2 linked regions of the Kluyveromyces lactis genome follow. Each later gene encodes a partner of the first gene's protein in a complex. Links are inferred from orthologs where the notes say so. Each region holds a gene or a part of one and is shown in the gene's direction. Other genes may lie near its edges.

Region 1 (4,304 bases):
GTCACTCCATTTTCACTTCCCAATGTAATATATTGTAGTGTATTGATTGAAAAGAACTAAATTCGATTCTAAGGTTTCATATCTATGAAACTTATTAACTATTGAACAGTTAAAGATCACAACCCGATTAGGGACCGATATATGGGACATACTAGCGCACATTCATAACTAGAGACCGGGAATAACTCATGGCTGTTGAAATAATCGATCTATCTACTGAGGTGGAACAATTAGGGTTACAAGGCGATACAGGGAAAGAAGTGTATGAGACCAGTGATGTTGAAGAAACACCAGACCAAGTAGTGATTACCGAGGCAAATGAAGATATAATTGAGGAGGAAATACCTAAGGTTCAAGAGAATAACGAAAGGTTCGAGCATTCTGTGCTAAGTTCGGAGGATACCGATTTTTCAGGAAAACTATACGCACTGCCGACGTATAATATCAGACATATAAATGAAACAAGAAGGCAGAGGCTGGCAAGGATACGGAGGGAGCTCCTTGAGATAGAGCAGGATTCCGAGGAGGATGGTTCCTCAAACGAATTACAGAACTTGAAGCAATTGTATGAAACGTTGGCTCAGTCTACGGAAAGTACAATGGAAAACATACAAAGCCAATTGGTCATAGCATCAGACGAGGATACAGAAAATGAGGTTACACTTCCAAACATCAGGATAGAAATCAACCAATTGAAGCAGCTGGAGGATATTGAGCATAAGATTTCCATATTGGAGTCACAAATCGGACCCTCGAATACGAATAAATCGATAACGTCAATCATCAATGAACTTCACAGAGAGATTAATATCCTCAAGTTGGATGAACCGACGTTGACTGGATTCCAAAATAAAATGAAAGAGATAAGTGATCAGTATGACCAGTCGATCATCGGAAGGAGAGCTCAGAAAGACCCAAATCTATCTACTGATATCGAAAGGAAGTTAAAATCTACAGAATCTAAGGTCAATGACATTTACGATAAGTATAACATCTTAAACAAGTACTCGGAAGTGATTCCACAAATCACAGAACGTGTACAGTCGCTAAACGTTCTACATACCTCTGTGAATGACATGAACGATACGGTATCTGAGATTAACGATCATATGTCTTCAGTTCATTCTCAGATCGAAAAATGGTCATCGCTCTTAGAATCCACGTCACGACAGCTTACCGACAGAGAACAATCCTTCAAGCGGACTAGGCATCAACTAGAGTTACAGCTCAACGATCTAGAGGTGAGAATAGGTAAATTGAGTGGCCAATAGCGTTTCTATGGATAGTTAATACTAGTAGTCAGTAGCCTTTTTTTTTATAGCTCATCTCTTCGCATTGTTAAAAGTGCACAAGAATCATAATTCGTAATCTTTAGCAAAGAACACCTTTTAAGTTGACTTTAACACAAGAAGATCAACGTAAAGCCCATATTGGAAAACCGTTACAGTCGTTATACTGTAGTTTGGCTATAGGGTTGATAATATTAATCTTTGTACAGGATGAGTACGACTTATTCAGTCCATTCCGTGGGCTCTTATATGAAGGCGATGGAAGTAATGGTTTCAGCAGCTCAGGCATTCCCTCATCTAGATACAAGCACAATCCCTAAGGTCGATGAGGAATTGAAGAAGGGTACTAAGCGTAGTGATAATAGAAATAAATTGTTGGTAACTTCTCAGGATAGGAATGAATGGGATGATATATTTGAAGAGTTTGCAAACCTTTCATCTGATAACTTACAATCGTTGATTACATCCAATCATTCAGCTTCTAATGCACAAGCACAAGTATACAAAGAGCTATTCAGACTACTTGATAATGTTGATTCTGATTTCCCTCGAGATCAACTACTACAGCAGTTGATCGAGTTGTTGAGGAACAATGAAAATACTGGAACTGCGGACCAAGATCTCTTCGATTACCTAGGTGCTGAAAACATCGAGCTGATATCGTTTCTAATTGAGAATCAAGAGATATTGAAACACACTCCGATTGAACATATGTCTAATTCGGATACTTACGAGGGAAACCGATTCATGACCGAAGAGGACATGAGAAGACAAGTCCTCAAGAATAGGGAAAAAGGTAAAAACGCTAAATTGGCTACTGCACAAAGAAAAGTAAAGTATCCACATGTCTTTAGACAGTCGGAGGATGCTGGATCGTCAATGCTTTCTTTTGCAGGTCAAAAATTTGCATTACCAGCTGGAAGCATGAGATATACTTTCCAAACACATGAAGAGATAACAATTCCATGCGCTGTACCGAAAAGAAAATTCGATATTCCATTGGTCAAAGTCAGTGATTTGGATGAATACTGCCGTAAAGTATTCGAGTATGATTATTTGAATAAGGTACAGTCCTTGGTTTACCCGGTAGCGTACAATACAAATGGTAACATGTTGATCTGCGCTCCAACTGGTGCAGGTAAAACCGATATTGCTTTATTGACTATATTAAATACAATCAAACAATTCTCCGTCATAAATGAAGAAGGCGGGTTTGACATTGAATATGATGATTTCAAAATTATCTACGTGGCTCCACTTAAGGCTTTAGCAGCTGAAATCACTGACAAGTTTGCTCGTAAGCTATCCGTGTTTGATGTCAAGGTTCGTGAACTTACAGGTGATATGCAACTAACGAAGCGAGAGATTCTTGAAACTCAAGTCATTGTTACAACACCTGAAAAATGGGATGTGGTCACACGTAAAGCAAGTGGTGACAATGACCTTACTTCAAAGGTGAAATTATTAATTTTAGACGAAGTTCATTTATTACATGAAGATAGAGGGTCAGTCATTGAAAGTTTGGTGGCACGTACTTTAAGACAGGTAGAAAGTTCGCAGACCATGATCCGTATCTTAGGTTTATCTGCTACCTTACCGAATTTCGTAGATGTTGCTGATTTCTTAGGTGTAAACAGGAATGTCGGGATGTTCTATTTCGACCAGTCTTTTAGGCCCAAAGCGTTAGAACAACATTTGATTGGTTGCAGAGGAAAAGCAGGAAGTAAGCAATGTAGAGAAAATACCGATAAAGTTGCCTACGAGAAGGCCGTAGAAATGATGAAACTTGGTAATCAAGTGATGATCTTTGTGCATTCAAGAAAGGATACTGTAAAAACTGCCAGAACACTTATAAGTATGGCAAGAGACAATTATGAGATGGATTTATTCACAAGTAACGATGCTTCCGTAACAATATTTCAAAAGGAACTTTCCAAACATAAAGATAAAGATCTTAAGGAGTTATTCCAATCAGGGTTTGGTGTTCACCACGCCGGTATGTCACGTTCAGATCGTAATATAACAGAAAAAATGTTCAAAAGCGGAGCCGTAAATGTACTTGTTTGTACAGCTACATTAGCTTGGGGTGTCAATTTACCTGCTGATTGTGTCATTATCAAGGGAACCCAGGTTTATGACTCCAAGAAAGGTGGTTACACTGATCTTGGAATTTCAGATGTTATTCAGATCTTCGGTCGTGCTGGTAGACCAGGGTTTGGTTCTGATTATGGTACTGCTTACTTATGTACTTCAAACGACCGTTTAGATCATTATGTCGACCTAATCACGCAACAACATCCTATTGAATCAAGACTAGGTGCTAAGGTTGTCGACAACTTGAATGCCGAAATATCTCTTGGAACAGTCACGAACGTTGAGGAAGGTGTGAAGTGGTTAGGATATACTTACATGTTTGTCAGGATGAAACAGAATCCTTTTACTTATGGTATTGATTGGGAAGAGATCCGAAATGATCCGCAATTGTACGAGAAGAGAAGACAAATCATCATAACAGCCGCCCGTCGTCTACATTCTCTACAAATGATTGTTTTCGATGAAGTTTCAATGCATTTCATTCCAAAGGATTTGGGAAGAATTGCTTCCGAGTTTTATTTACTTAATGAGTCTGTCGAAATCTTTAACCAAGTTGCTAATCCAAGGGCTACTGAAGCAGATGTGTTAGCCATGATTAGTATGAGCAGCGAATTCGATTCCATCAAGTTCAGAGAAGAAGAATCTAATGAATTAAATAAACTTCTTGACTGTGCCGTTGAATGTCAGATTTCTGGGGACGTCGACAGTTCACCTGGTAAGACAAATATTCTTCTACAAGCGTATGTTTCTCAAAGCAGAATTAATGACTCTGCACTAAATTCAGATGCAAATTACATTGCTCAGAATTCTGCAAGAATATGTAGGGCATTACTTCTAATTGGTATTAATAGAAGATGGGGCACGTTTTCAAAAGTTATGCTAGATATATGCAAGTCCATCGAAAAGAGAATGTGGGCATTT
Region 2 (3,592 bases), on another chromosome or scaffold:
AGGTTAACAGAAGGCCCCAAAGGGTTCCCTTAGGTATGGATTTGGAAGGCTTACGCAATTCACTGGACATACCGGCGCCAGCAAATATTCCTGCCGTAGCTGGAAAAAAAATCCCGAATAGATCATTGAACGTTTCGTAACCCTTCAACACCGAGCCTGCTGCACCCTTTGTAAACTTCGGATATAGATTTTGTTTGAGTATCTGTAAAGACGGTCCTGTGTACACGATTCCATTAAGTTCGAAAGGCTTCACAAATAAAACAGAGATAGGAATCGAGATTGTAGAAGCCAATAGCAACCAGAATAGAACGTTACCAGCACGCGAGACAGTCTGTGAACCAATCATAGCCACCGCCAGACATAACAGAAGCAAAACCGTAGAGTATCCAAATTGGTACCAATGCCCTTCTGGAAGTACTTGAGTTAGCACACCTTCCGAGATACCAAAATTGTATAACAACGGTTCCACGATACCAACTATGTTCATACCACTATTCAAAATTTGGCCAATGAAAAAGATAAGACCAATAGAACCTCCAAATTCAGGACCTAGGCATCGTGAAATCATGTAATATGCACCACCACCTCTCACTGTACCGTTGGTCGATATAGCTGAAATGCTCAATGTGGTTGATACATCAATGATAAAAGATAAGATTAACAATAGAAATGTTCCCAAAATACCCATCTGTCCTATTATGAAACCAAATCTCAAGAACATTAAAATTGAGAGCACATTTAACGTAGTGGGTATAAATACTCCATCGAATGTTCCCAATTTATTTCTATGGGGATTCTCTAGATCATATTTTGAAGATTGTTCTTGTTGTAACGGTGTGTCTTGATATTTGAAATACGTTAAACTCGACCTTCTCTTAAGCAACGGTGAGCGCTCTGATTGTGACGGAAGGTGCGAACCCGGTAGTTCATAGAACTTAGACATCAGTGTGGTGACAGTGCACTACTGTCGTTACCTTTGCCATTGAAAACACTGCTAATCTGAATATTTTTATCGCTTCGTTATTTATCTTTGCTTGATTTGACGAATTCCTTTAAGGGTCTATCATTTTTGAAAGATTTTTGAAATTTCACCATAGAGCAAGAAGAGATTTGAAATGCAGAGAGATTGATGGATATGGTTCGATCATGTTTGAAGCATTCAGGCATGCTCAGAACTACCATCTAACAGGTGAAAATCAACGAAAACGATGACTACAAGATACCAGAGGGTTTTGGAGATAAATGCCAAAGAGAAAATATCTCTGGCGATCGTTAAGTTCCCTCCTTTTAAGCTACGTGCGGCGATGGTTGAGAAAGATCCGGTGATATGGCTCCATTTGCTGGAAGTTTATGTGCAACATATGAGTTATTTATTACATGGTGACAACTTAGACTTTCTCAGTGATGAGACCATTGATCATCTATGCATTTTCGTTAAGGCTTATGTGCATGAAATGAGTGAAGAAGAAGGAAAACTTCTTTCTTTGGGAATTAATGCAGATGTTTTGAAGCAATTAGAGCTTTTAAGAGCTTACGTTTTACAGTTGATTAAAAGCTGTGGGCTACTATACTTGAAGTTGAATACAGAGTCTCTATGGGACATAACACGGTCCTACGTCGAGGGAAATGCAACCACTGTCAGATCGTTGATCGAAGGATCTTTAAGACCGACCATTAATACTCAGAAAGCACAATTGGATAGGACGTACCAGATACAGCAACATATAAGATATTTGATAGAAGCCAATAAATTTAGTAGAGTGGATTTAAAGTCTCTGGAATTGCTTTTAGCTGCTGATGATAAGGCGAAGAGTTCATTTACAGATAATTTTGTGTCTGCCAAGTGGGTTGATACATTAGAGTCAATGTATGGCAAGGAACCAGGGAGTTATTTATCAGATTGGGGAAAGAAACTTGGAATATTAAGCTTTTTGTCCTGCAGCGTCACACATTTGGCTGATTTGTTAAAGCAAATGAGCATAACGAACTTACGAACACTTTCAATGTATCCACTTTTAGGGTCACTTCTAATTGATGCCAGGTTTCAGGAAAAGTTGCCACATATTAAAACTAAAATCCCCTTTTTGGATATACAAGAGGAACCGAAGGCAGCTCCCCATTTAAGCGGTCTGCTAATGCCTAGTGTCAATGTTGAACAAATAGACACAATCAAGGAACTATTTCCGGACCTTACTTCTAACCAGATAACAAAATTATTGCAGAGGTATGATAATAACACGGAAGTTATAATCAATAACTTGTTTGAAAATCCATCTGTGATATCTTCACTCGAAGATGGGCCACTGCAGGATGACGAAATACAGAATACGACCGAAAACCTGATGGAGGAACATAAGCCGAAGGAGAATTTATTGCCAGCCATCACTCCGAAGGACAAAATTGAAAAGAAAAACATGTTATTCCCTACAAACGACGTACCTGATGCTGTCAGAAACAAAACATTATCAAGAGCTTTATCCCTTCTATATGATGCCACAGAAGATGAAAGGGATGACACCTACGACGATGCAGAAGTTAAGCAAGCTTCTGCAGATCGTGTAAGCGTCGATACTTCTGACACAGCAAAGGTATCAACCATAACACCAGGCACATCTAAGTACGATAAAATTGAAGGATATCTATGGGAATTATTGAAAAGGGATAAAAATCTTTTCTCCCGTCAGCAACGGGGCTCGAAACAGCGGAAAGAAATGAAGAAAGAGACTAACTGGTCTGACGAACAAATTGAAGGTTGGTCAAGAATGATTGAGAAGAGTCCAAAGAGGGCACAACTGCTAGAAGAAAAGTATATTTTCAAAGGGAACGTTCGGCAAGGCAAGAAGACGTTTACAAAAGCACGAGAGGATAAAGAAGGTTTTGATCATCATGTAGTTGACAGCACCGTAAATTCACCTAACACTAACAGTAATAATGATTCTGGCAGAGAGAAAACACCTACTACCAAAGAACCTCTTACCAAAGAACAACAAAAGAGAAAAAATGCTCGTAACGAGAAACTAAAATCAAGTCGTGCTAATCATAATAGAAAAGCGGGACACGATAAAAAGTTAGCTAAAAGTGGTGTTTTATGATGAACATTAGACCAGTATAGATACATTTACGAAAATTGAAGTCGATTATCCTGTATCTTCCTATTTATCTGTAGATATTATGAAATGCATTTACTTTAAATATCATTCTTCGAAACTTTCCTTTTCTTGGATTCTAATTTATTCCAAAGATCCTCATTTTCAGCATCTTCATCAGCTTCGACGATGCTTCTTTTGGCTTCCTTCTTCTTCTTCATTTTCAATTGCTTTTCAGTTAAAGGTAATTCCAAGTCATTGTCTTCTAAGAGTATAATATCAGAAACCTTACCGCCTGTGAATATCTTTGCCAGGAGCTTATAATCGGCTAAATCAAAGATACGAACATACCTGTCCAAACCACCTTGAAGTAAGTATTTATCGGTAACAGCAATGCAAGATGCAAAACCAGTAATGTCGCCCTTGGCAATCTTTCTCAACAAGCGTCCCTTGCCGTTGAATTGGTACACATCTTTTCTGGAGTCTGCTGCTAAGAATTCAAGCTC

The links. Proteins that work in one complex are often made in the same cells at the same time.
Region 2: SLH1 (region 1) and CUE3 share a complex: the UniProt entries of both Saccharomyces cerevisiae proteins name them as parts of the RQT (ribosome quality control trigger) complex. The link is inferred for Kluyveromyces lactis from reciprocal best matches to the Saccharomyces cerevisiae genes SLH1 and CUE3.

The regions. Positions count from the first base shown.
Region 1 is NC_006037.1:863,923-868,226, forward strand, and holds the start of SLH1 (RNA helicase), read left to right. Parts: upstream 1-1,499; coding exon 1,500-4,304. Other genes in the region: JNM1 (Jnm1p), read left to right, coding at 189-1,271. UniProt on the Saccharomyces cerevisiae protein: Involved in activation of the ribosome quality control (RQC) pathway, a pathway that degrades nascent peptide chains during problematic translation.
Region 2 is NC_006042.1:973,511-977,102, forward strand, and holds CUE3 (Cue3p), read left to right. Parts: upstream 1-1,208; coding exon 1,209-3,092; downstream 3,093-3,592. Other genes in the region: VHC1 (Vhc1p), read right to left, coding at 1-943; ribosome biosynthesis protein NSA1, read right to left, coding at 3,188-3,592. UniProt on the Saccharomyces cerevisiae protein: Involved in activation of the ribosome quality control (RQC) pathway, a pathway that degrades nascent peptide chains during problematic translation.